Coturnix japonica: one gene and its partners. The protein of the gene in region 2 interacts with the protein of the main gene of each other region in a biochemical or structural test. Links are inferred from orthologs where the notes say so. Each region holds a gene or a part of one and is shown on either strand. Other genes may lie near its edges.

What was found. The genes of interacting proteins can lie anywhere in the genome.
Region 1: the proteins of FZD7 (region 2) and DVL1 form a complex in vitro, tested with the Homo sapiens proteins (2 studies listed by BioGRID and IntAct, with this or other methods). The link is inferred for Coturnix japonica from reciprocal best matches to the Homo sapiens genes FZD7 and DVL1.
Region 3: the proteins of FZD7 (region 2) and SDCBP interact in a biophysical measurement, tested with the Homo sapiens proteins (2 studies listed by IntAct, with this or other methods). The link is inferred for Coturnix japonica from reciprocal best matches to the Homo sapiens genes FZD7 and SDCBP.

The regions. Positions count from the first base shown.
Region 1 is NC_029536.1:1,959,042-1,962,541, forward strand, and holds part of DVL1 (segment polarity protein dishevelled homolog DVL-1), read left to right. Parts: intron 1-905; coding exon of another isoform or gene 906-916; exon of another isoform or gene 917-952; intron 953-2,357; coding exon 2,358-2,773; 3' UTR 2,774-3,500. UniProt on the Homo sapiens protein: Participates in Wnt signaling by binding to the cytoplasmic C-terminus of frizzled family members and transducing the Wnt signal to down-stream effectors. Plays a role both in canonical and non-canonical Wnt signaling.
Region 2 is NC_029522.1:10,161,049-10,165,206, reverse strand, and holds the start of FZD7 (frizzled-7), read right to left. Parts: upstream 2,801-4,158; 5' UTR 2,227-2,800; coding exon 523-2,226; 3' UTR 1-522. UniProt on the Homo sapiens protein: Receptor for Wnt proteins.
Region 3 is NC_029517.1:101,329,405-101,332,904, reverse strand, and holds part of SDCBP (syntenin-1), read right to left. Parts: intron 2,235-3,500; 5' UTR 2,220-2,234; coding exon 2,169-2,219; intron 974-2,168; coding exon 885-973; intron 1-884. UniProt on the Homo sapiens protein: Multifunctional adapter protein involved in diverse array of functions including trafficking of transmembrane proteins, neuro and immunomodulation, exosome biogenesis, and tumorigenesis.

The sequences.
Region 1 (3,500 bases), on a different chromosome or scaffold from region 2:
GTATGTGATGGAGTGGGTTAGCCTTTCAGCTCTGTATTGATACTGCCAGCAGTGTTTGATCCGAGTCAGTGCCACGTACTGTTTGTGGTTGTGCTGTAGTTCTGTTCCAAACACAGAACGTCAATGGGGAACTAGAGCCAAACTGTTTATGACATGGGCATCTGGACTTTGCCTTACCAAACAGCACCACACAGTCAACTACTGCTTGAATAACATTAATCAGGCCAACATTAACATCTCAGTTGTCCCCCCTGTTAAAACAGATTAAAAAGTATTGACCCTTTTCAGAGGTCAGAGCCATTACCAACAATGTGGGCTGCAGTCGCTTGATATATTGCTGGAAATGAGGCCATTGGGTTGCTGGTGGAACAGGGATTAGGACCAAGTGATCGATGCAATCACTCTTTTTGCTTGGGTGAGACAAGTGTGAGGTGACCAGCAGGGAGGTTACAGGGCTGAAACACTGCTCACAGGGAGGAGAGTCTGTCTGGTGATATGAGATAGGGGGAAAAAAAAGGGTAGTGCTGCATGGATTAAAAACCTGACCTCCTCCTTTTCTGCTGTAGGATCGTTTTGCCATTCATGTTGAAATCTTAGTAAGTAAAAAATTACATTTTACGGCTGTACCAACAGGGTCCCACTGCTTTCTGTTGGGATGCTTTATAAATCACTTCCAAATTGGGTTTTGCTTTCTTGGCGGCTGGTTAGATCTCTGCTGCTGGAACAGGAAAGGTGTGGTATTTCATCCATGCACCTGTGCTAGTGGCTAAGAGAGCCCTGTGGAAGGCACCAAGAGTGTTGAAATTAAGAGTTCTCAACTCTTTCCTTGTTCTTCATTTGGAAACTACACTGCTGTGTCGTTTCTTACTTTATAACTGTTATTCCCTTGTTTTGTTCTGAGCAAGCATTAGACTGAAGGATTCATAGAGGAATGGCTGACTCTAGGGGATTGGTAAGCTTCAAATGCCTCCATGATAATAATGACTTCACAGCATGACCATTTAGACTCCTGTGACCCAAATGTTTAGCTGTGTTTTTCCTTTTATTTTTGTCTCAACGCACGATAGTCCAACAGTGTGACATGAGCATACCAAGCTGTTTGCCCTCCCCCCCCTTGTGATTGTGCTGCAGCAGCCATGAGAGAAGGGCATCATCAGGTAGCTTGCAGCCAGCTCAAATGGGAAAGCCCTACCACTAGTCTTTTCACCACCCTTCATAGAAACAAAGAAATCCCAGCTTTTAATTAAGCCTGGTGTTTGTCCATTGGGACTTTACATATCTACCAGTGCCCTACAGGAGCTGATTGGCTGAAAGATATTTGGTCACTCTATGTGGATGAAATGGGGTTTCTTGTGTTCTCTGCTTATATGTCTTGTTAGTTCGTAGCTGGTAATGTCACTTTGCACCAAGAGACAAAAGGAGATGTCATTCAGAGTGCCAAGCTGGTCCTTATTGTACTGGTTTAGATCCTTCCTGGCAGTAAGACAGTCTTGCACTAGGAGCTTTGGCTTAAGTCACAATACTCTCTAAATTGCAGGAACTTAATGAAGTACCGTGTGGGTTTCTTGTTAGTTTCTTATGGGCTTTTTTTAAGGCTGATTGATTTAGAATTGTCTCCTGACATCTATCCTATCTCTGATGGTAATAGAGCACACCTTCAACTTTCCTTCTGAATCAGTTCCAAAGCTTAGCAAAGCTTATACGTAGCAACAGCTCAGCTTATGTACCAGCAGCAGCCCTTTGTTTTCCTGAGCTGATTTAGTGGCCTCTGCTGGGAACTTCCTTCATGTTACTGATTGAGCAGCTCAATAAATAACTCCAACAATGAAACAGTATAGCAATGAATTTTACAAGAGCCTACCTACTGAATGCAACAGAAGGACTTCAGTTAACCTCAGGAGGTTCAGCCTTGAGCAGCAGTCTGCCCGGGCAGTACAGAAGTCAAATCAGTTTCCTTTTGAGTAAGGTTGTAAGTCAGGATTCAGCCGAACCTCATTTGCTTGTGGGTTAAAACCCAAATGCCTGCTTCTTCCTTTGGTTTCAGCTGCTCCCCTCTCTGGGCAGCGAGGAGGTGGTGGAGCTGAAGGCCTCCAGCCTTGCTTGTGAGCGAGCTGCTGCTTTCACTGTGTGAGCTCTGTAGGTGTCTCCGTGTTCCTGTGCATGGCACAGCCTCGTCTGCTTCATTCTGCCATCTGTCACTGCTAAATCCCATAAGCCACCGATAGCACGCTCAGGCCTTATCATTATTATTGCCATCACACCAGAGGTGGATTGGTGGCTTTGGTAGGAGCTGATGATGGAAATGAGCTAATTCTGCTTTTCCACTTGTCCTTTTATTCCGCTTTGCTGGCCTTTAGGAAGCAAAAGCAGCGGCTCGAACCGAAGCAACAGCGAGAACAGCAGGAGGGCTCTTGGCAGAGAGAAGGACCGCAAGTCGGCGGGCAGTGGCAGCGAGTCCGAGCACACTGCATGCAGCGGTGGCACCGGCACAGCGCGGAGGGAGAGGCCTGTCAGCCAGCTCAGCCACCGCAGCCACGTCTCTGCCACACACAGCGAGAGGAGCCACCACAGCCATCATTCTTATGGGCCTCCAGGTGTCCCACCCCTGTACAACCTCCCCAAGCTGGGCTCGAAAGTCTACGGGACGAGCGGACCCCCTGGAGGGCCCCCGGTGAGAGAACTGAGCTCTGTTCCTCCGGAGCTGACGGGGAGCCGGCAATCCTTCCAGAAGGCCATGGGCAACCCTTGTGAATTCTTTGTCGACATCATGTGAGAGAGGAAGTGCCTTCAGACTCTGCTTTGGGGAGGGCCGGGGTGGATCGTTTTGGGGCTGGGTGGGAAATGTTGTCATTGTCAGACACTTAAGGGAAGAAACTTGTCTGTTTTGCATGTCACGCCTTCCCAGTTTGCAATGATGTGTTGCAGAAAAACCAACAAAACAAAGCAAAACCCCCACAAAACAACCACAAAAACACACCCACCGATGCCTGGGATTGTTCAATATCAGCAAGTCGATGGCGTTCTTCTCTTTATCCTCCCGTTTTTCTTTCTTCCCCCCCCTCTTGTTTTTTGATTGTGGTCGGCTGGTGTATATTCACATCTTATTGAGCTTTGGTAATCGTGGCACCTACTTTCAGTGCAATTAGTGTATCTTTCGGGCTGATTCGAGGACTTCTTATTTCACGTGACTTCTGAATTTCCAGTAATGCATAACGGCACTTTTATTTTCTTGTGCTTTTTCCTCCTGCAAGAAAAAGCAGACGATTGTTGGCTGGTATCTGTGATACTGCCTCGTAATGCTGGTGTTTGGATGCATCAGTCGGCACTAAGCAGCTGCAGCACCTGCAAGTACAGACAACGCATGGAATGGAGCAGGCACAGACCAGTTCCCAGCAGAAAGCCAAGTTGTGACTGCCTTCTACTGCCTAGGGAGTGTAAATCCATCGTCCTTTTACTTCAGATGTTGGTTATTCTGTGGAGGAAATGGTGGAATCTTGCTG
Region 2 (4,158 bases):
GGCCGAATTTCCACTCCCTTCGAAATGCCAACACAGGGTATCATTGAGGTAAAACAGGAAAGCGATGGAGCGGAGGCAGCTGAGCACAGCGCTGCCCGCGGGCTACTCACGTGCTCGCCCCGAGCTGCACGAGGTGGGAGCCCGGGGGCTGCCCGACCCCAGCGGCCGGGAGCCGGGCTGCTCGTGGGCAAGGGCGGCGCTGAGCCTTCTCCCCACCCGGGATGGCCTCAGCCGTGTTGGTTTCCTTCCCGCACAGGGAAAAGCGAGGGGGCTGTCTGGCAGGCGAAGGGTTCTCCCGCCCCGGCAGAGGCCTCTTTCTGTGCTTTTCCTCTCAGCCGAGCGTAAGCACCATTGGACGCAGTGCACGTAGTCCTTAATGCAATGATCATTTTTAACCCCACTGTGAGAAAGCTGAAGTTTTGAAAAGCTTTCCCCCTTTCTCTGTCTTCAGGGAGCCGCTGTTGCTTCCCTTCTGCTGAGTACCCTCTCTTCTGCGTGTGTGTGCCAGGGCGGGTGGAGGTCTCATACTGCCGTCTCGCCCTTGCTGCCGGTGCTCAGTCTGTGGTAGAAGCGCCGCCAGGACTGTAGGGTTTTACCAGACCAGATCCAGAAGCCCGTCGTGATGCCAACGATCATAGTCATGAGGTACTTGATCATGAAGACTGTGAAGTCCGGGCTCATGGGGGCAAAGTGGCTAGGGCAGGGCACAGCGTAGGTTTTGCATGTCTGGAGGAGCCACGTCTTCTCCCAGGTGCTACGGAAGGCCTGCTCATAGAAGTAGCATGCAAGGACAATGGTGGCAGGGACCGTGTAGAGGACACTGAAGACCCCGATGCGCACCATCAGCTTCTCCAGCTTCTCTGTTTTGGTGCCATCGTGTTTCATGATGGTGCGTATGCGAAACAAGGACACAAAGCCGGCCAGCAGGAAGGAGGTGCCAATGAAGAGGTACACGAAGAGCGGTGCTAGCACAAAGCCCCGCAGCGAGTCCACGCTGTAGATGCCCACATAGCACACCCCACTGAGCACATCTCCGTCCACCTGCCCCATAGCTAGGATGGTGATGGTTTTGACAGCGGGCACAGCCCAGGCAGCCAGGTGGAAGTACTGGGAGTTGGCCTCGATGGCCTCGTGGCCCCATTTCATGCCAGCTGCCAGAAACCAGGTGAGGGACAGTATGACCCACCAGATGGAGCTGGCCATACCGAAGAAGTAGAGGATCATGAAGAGGATGGTGCAGCCTTCTTTCTTGGTGCCTTGGGCCACGGTACGGTAGCCGTCCTCAGAGAAGCGTTCCAGGCACACCACCCGCTCCTCCAGCAGGAAACCCGCTGCGTAAGCCACCGCCACCATGAAGTAGCAGCCTGAGAGGAAGATGATGGGTCGCTCTGGGTAGCTGAAGCGGCGCATGTCCACCAGGTAGGTAAGCACTGTAAAGAGGGTGGACGCGCAGCAGAGCACGGACCACACACCTACCCAGAGCCGGGCAAAACGTACCTCCGCCTCCTTGAAGTACATGAGCCCGTTGGGCCGGCCCGGCTCACAGGGGGCTCCACAGTCCCGCTCCCCCAGGAAACGGTAGCCCAAGTAGGGGGGCACTTTGAGCTGCCGAGGGCAAGAGAAGGAGAACCCGGCGGCGGGCTGCGGTGGGGTGAGGAGGTCGGGCAGGTAGCCGGCTGTGGGCTGCGCCGTGGCTCCCCGACCCCCCGCGCCGCCGGGCCCTGACGGAGCATCCGACGTGTTCTGCCCCACGCAGATCTCGCCCGCACCGTGCACAGGAAAGTTCTCGCAGCGGAGCCGCTCCGGCCACTGGAAGCCAAACTTGTTCATGAGCGCCTCGCAACCCTGGCGAGCCCGCTCACATAGGGAGCGGCAGGGTGGGATGGCCTGCTCTAATACGGTGCAAACCGGTGCGTACATGGAGCAGAGGAAGAACTTGAGCTCGGCCGAGCACTGCACCTTGACCAGTGGGTAGAACTGGTGCACCTCCAGGCCCGCGTCCTCCTGGTTGGTGTGGCCCAGCAGGTTGGGCAGGATGGTCTGGTTGTAGGCGATATCCGTGCAGAGCGGGATGGAGATGGGCTGGCAGAAGCCGTGGTCCGGCACGGAGATGGCCTTATCGTCCTGATGCGCCGCCGCGCACGGTGTGCCCAGCAGGGCGGCCAGCAGGGCGGCCAGGCCCAGCCAGCGGAGCCCGGCGCCCGCTTCTCCCGCCTCGGGCCGCATCGCCGGGTCCCGGGGAGCCGCGGGGCGCGAGTCAGAGCCGGGCGGCGCCGAGCCCCAGGGGCATGGGAGCACGGTGGGCGGCGGTGGGGCCCGTTCCGCGGAGCGGGGCTGCGGTTTAGCGGCGTTCCTCCTCGGCCGCGGCGGGTCGGTGCTCCCGGCGTTAAGTTTCCGGAGTCGGTGGCTTTGGAGAAGGCTGCGGACGGGCGGAAAGGCCGGCGACGGCTCTCGGTAGTTCCGCGCACGGTCCCGCGGCGAGGCGCTGCTCCCTGCCTGGCTGCCGACTCCCGACGACGAGGATTTAGGTTACGGCTAAACGGATTATTACCGCGCCCGGCTGAGTCGCGTCTTTTACTCGCGGGCTTAAAGAACTTTTAAAATCCAATTATTGCTCGATCCTCCCGCAGCTCCGCTCCCGACGGGCTCCGCCGCCGCTTGTCCCCAGGATCACTCCGCCCGCAGCCGAGCAGGACCGCGCACCCAGCGCACACCCCGCAACTCGCAGCCCGCGGCCGAACCGGGCACAAAAAAGACACATATACGCGCGGGCGCGCCGCCGGCACCGCCCCCACCGCCGGCCCCATTCACAAACCGCGCCGGGGGCGGGGTCTCACGGCCGGAACACGCCAATGCCGTGCGGCCCCGGGGGCGGAGCGGCGGAGCACGAGAAGTTGAGCTCAACTTTTTCCCATCCCGGCCGGGCAGGGCGGGCCGCAAGGCGGGGGGGGGCTGCCCTGGGGCCCCACACCCCGCTGCAAGGCACGGCCGGGCGGGGGGCAGCGAGAGCGCTCAGGGTGGCCCGAGCAAACCGAAATTAACTGCCTGCTTTCTGAGCGGGCTTTGGAAATGCGAACGGCTGCTCGAGCCCCGAATTATTAATAAATATAAAATAAAAAGCTCCGCCCGCGTACATTTGCAGAATGAGCTGATGGCGTTGTGCTGTGTCCGTGTCTGCACGCCATCGCCTCCCCCAGCGGGGGGCTGACTTGTTATCGCACCATGACCGTTGCGTTTTGCTGGCAGAATGAGCGATTTATTCACGCGGATGTAAGCTTTCAGCAGGGAAGGCAGCTTGTTTTGAAACGTCCACTGCGAACAGCGCTGAGGGGAAAAACGTTAAATCGCCGTGCGTGCGGCTGCGGCCCCTTAAAGAGGCCCAAACGGTGTGTAACAAAGCGGCAGCTCCTCGGTGGAAGCGCCCGGCCCGTCTGCGAGAGACAAAACGCCGCAGGTCAGGGGAGGGACGGTGCTGGACGGCGGGTGATTCAGGGCGGGCCCGAGGCCAGGCCGGGGTGCGTTCGCTGAGGACAGAAGCGTGGCTTTGCTGCATTGCTGTGTTCCAGGGCTTGCGGGCTGCTGGAACCAACGTGCTGCTGGGGCTCGGAGTGTCGGAGCGGCACGGAGGGCGTGCGCTCGACAAAAGCCCTACGGCAGCGACCGCGTTTTCCTTCACACTCTGGCCTAGGGGCCAAGTACTATCCAACCCACCCATCCCTCCCTTTGAGGACGGGAACTATACTATTCAAATTGCTGCTTCTGCTCTTGTACTCTTGGCTGTGCTCATATTGTGCCTAAGCAAATACGCCAATCTGTGCAGCCTCCGGGGCAGTTCAAGAGATCAGAGTGTGGCTCAGGGAGCTCAAACAGCAATTGTTGGACAAATGTTTCCCATATCCTCTCCTGTTTGTGAACAATGTGTCCTCATACCAACGAGACCGTGGAGCTTCAGCTTTTGTTACATTTGTTAAGAGAAATTGACAGTTATAAATGGGCTTACTAAAATAAATGCACTCCTCTAAAAGTGGACATGTTTTTAAAACTTCTTCTGCTCCCTGAGCTGTGTGCAAGGCAGGATGAGCTATCTGCACCCTTGCTTCTAGACAAGAAGCCTTTTCTTCATTCTCAAAGCTGTTGGAGGGCCCTAAGAGGAACTTC
Region 3 (3,500 bases), on a different chromosome or scaffold from region 2:
AATACATCATTTGATAAGCAATATGAAAGGCACAGAAGTTGCAGTGGAATACAAACGCCAAGCATCAGAAAGGATGCTACTAAAAAGGGATTAATAATGCAAATTTCCATCTGATCTGATGATGCCAGCTCAGGTAAGATCTTCAGTTCCTTCTGGTCCAATTCACCTTCCCGGATCTAAGGTGGGTCTCTGATGAGCTAAATAAATTCCAGCCTTAAAATTGCTTAGATCACACCAGCTCCAAGTGTGAAACTGGAGACAAAGGTGCACCCACCAAGCCTTAGTACCTGCTCTATCAGCATTCTTGACTGCTCTTCCAGCACTGTAGCTGGTCATGCTAGTTACAGATTTTCAGGCATATCTGTGCATCTTTGTGGGTGCACATCAGCATGGGGATAAAAAGGTGAAATGAGACTGACATCTTCAGGCCCATTGTGTTTTCCAACATATGTTTTTACCCCAAAAGCTGCAGAAAGCACAATATTGTTGAAGTTCCATGTTTCTGGGCACTTCTCTATTAACAGATTTGTGTCTGCTTGTTTCCAAGCAAGTTCATATGCTCCAGAGGAAAGATGCAGTGGAATAGGTTCCCCAGGGAGGTGGTTGAGTCACCATCCCTGGATGTGTTTAAGAGCCATTTGGATGCAGTGCTCAGAGATATGATTTAGCAGAGGGTTGTTAGGGTACTATGGTTAGGCTGAGGTTGGATTTGATGATCCTTGAGGTCTTTTCCAACCTGAATAATTCCATGATTCCATGATGCTCAGATTCATGCTGCAGTCTGAAGTTTACAAACATGTGACAAGTAAGTATATGCAAGTGGCTGAGGTGAAAATCAAGGAGAGATCAAAGGGTCCCAACAACATGAGCATACTATGCAGCACATGACCTTACCTCCATCATGAGGAACAGGACCAGAAGCTTCAGACAAGATTGCTGGATTAGCTGGGTTTGAAGAGAAGGCAGTCTGAGCCTAAAGGGATGGAAACTCACACATGTTACTATAGGTCTTTCTTGTATAAGAGATCTTTGTTACATAGCCAGTAGACCAAGTATTCTTCTTAATGTGCTAATTACCACTACTCTTCAAGCACTGAAGTCAATCATTTTCTTTGAAGTATTTAACACAATACGCGGCAGTGTTATCATACCGCTTCAACAAGAAGTCATACCTTCCTCAGAGACAGAGCTATGCTAATAACACAGGAAGGCTTCACCATCAGCATCAGTTCCAGTTTTGTCATTAAGCAAATAGAAGAGACTTTTAAAGTAAGCCAATTCCCTTTCTTCTCACGGTATCAGAGCTGCTTCTTTCTTAGCCTTTAGCATCCACAAACAGTTGAAAACATTACCTTACAGAGTCCTACTATTATGCAGGACAGAAACAGCCACCTTAACATTGCTACTGATGTTAAAAGTAAAAGGTGTGGTTAAGTTTCAGAACAGCGAAACACAGTGCCAAACAGGACGCATAAATCACCAAATTCAACACGCTGACCGAATTACTGAGTGTTTTTTAAGGAAATAATGCTTAAAAATAGAAGATTTCATAGTCCTGTTCTCTCCAGGAAGTTACGTTTAAGAAGTTTCAGAGCAAAAGTGACTCATTATTTAGTCTCCAACTCAAACTCTGTACAGTAAGAACAGGGTTTTGTTTTGTTTTTTACAATTCCCTCCCCCGCCACACACTCCAGTTTTCCTTTTAATCATACTGAATTGCTGAGGACACAGTGCATCCTTCAGTACTAGCAGAGAAATACCCTATTTCCATTACCACATTGGTTGCAAAAGTTAAACAGTGAAGAGTTTTTAGTTATAGTGTTTAAACACTGGCAGCTGGTCATTAAAAGGCTGAGGGAGCATATAATATAATCAGCTGCAGGCAGGGTTGGGTTTTGTTTTTAAATCAAAGTTTACTGTCACCTGACTGTATCTTCACCTCAGGATAATGCAGGGCACATGGAGCTGAACAAAGAAATCCCAACACTGCCTACAGTTCCAAAGGTCCTTCCCCACACAGAGAAATGCAGGTGAGACTGACGCACTTTACCTTTTCCTTTTCAGAGACTGTAAAATACATAATATAGTAGCAGTTCTCCCCTCCCCGTCTTAAACAGAAACAGGATCATTACTGTTACCAAAACCAACTTTATGAAAGCCTGCCATACCTGAATAACTTTGTCCACCTTCAGATCTTCTAGGGAAGGATAGAGAGACATGTTGATGCAGCCTCACTGGGTTGGAAAAAGAAAAAGGAAGGGTTAGCCATCCAGTACTTGCCTAGCATTACAGCTTAAAACAGAAACGAAAGAGAAAGCAGACAAAGCACTAAATAAGCAAGTCGCGACCTGTAAACTTTAGCACTACAGATACAAAGCACTGAAGACAAATTTCATTAAGACTAACAGTTTCATCTGTTATCACTATTAGCCTATGTATAATAGGCTTTGCTTACTCGGTGCTGTTAAATGTTGCAGCCATGAGAAAGCCTGCACAGAGAACAGCTTCACAGGAAGTATTGCAACAATGATGAGGATTAAGATGGAAACCTAATTATATTCCATCTCCCAAGTAGGACAGTAATTCACATGCAACTGAGGAAAACAGTCCAGAAGTTTTCACACTATCTAAAGGCTTTTATCATTTCTAACACTCCTATCAAGAAGTCACTCACAGAATGACCCGGGTTGGAAGGGACCTCAAGGATCATGTAGTTCCAACCCCCCTGCCTGGCAGGGCCACCAAACATACACCTTTACTAGATCAGGTTGCCCAGGGTCCCGTCCAACCTGGTCTTGAACACCTCCAAGGACGGGGCATCCACAACCTCCCTGGGCAGCCTGTTCCAGGGCCTAACCACTCTCCTAGTGAAGAACTTCCCCCTAACATCCAACCTAAATCTTCCCTCTTTTAACTTAAAACCATTTCCCCTAGTCCTGCTATTGTCAGCCCTTTCAAAGAGTTTACTCCCCTCCTGGGTGTAAGTTCCCTTCAGGTATTGAAAGGCTGCAATGAGGTCAAGTCACTCGAGAGAACTGGCTTCCTGCGTCCATTTGTACCATATTAAAGAGAAGCAACAGACCACGAACCACCCAGACCTAGTCAGCAGTGGGTTTTGAAATCCACAGACTTCAGCCTGCCTCCCTCATGTGATGAGGAGAGAGCCCTGTGACAGCATAACAGGAAGCACTGAAATAAAAACACTTCGCGTGATCTTGGAAGGCACGTAGCCCTGTGTGATCTGAGCCACAGAGGCTTTAGAAAATTCCACTTTTGAGAAATCCTTTGCTCAGATTCTCACCGAGGTCAACAGAATGTTGCAGAAGAGTAGTTAAGGCAGTTCACCACAGGAAAGGATAGAAACAGAACGTAAGAACATGATAAAGCTTTGAAAATTAAAACGTGGCACAGAAAACATGAACGCAGTTAACAGAGGCACTATGAAATGCTTCTGGTTGGGAGATTAATTCTCCCATCCAAAGATAAGTTAGAGGTCCTGA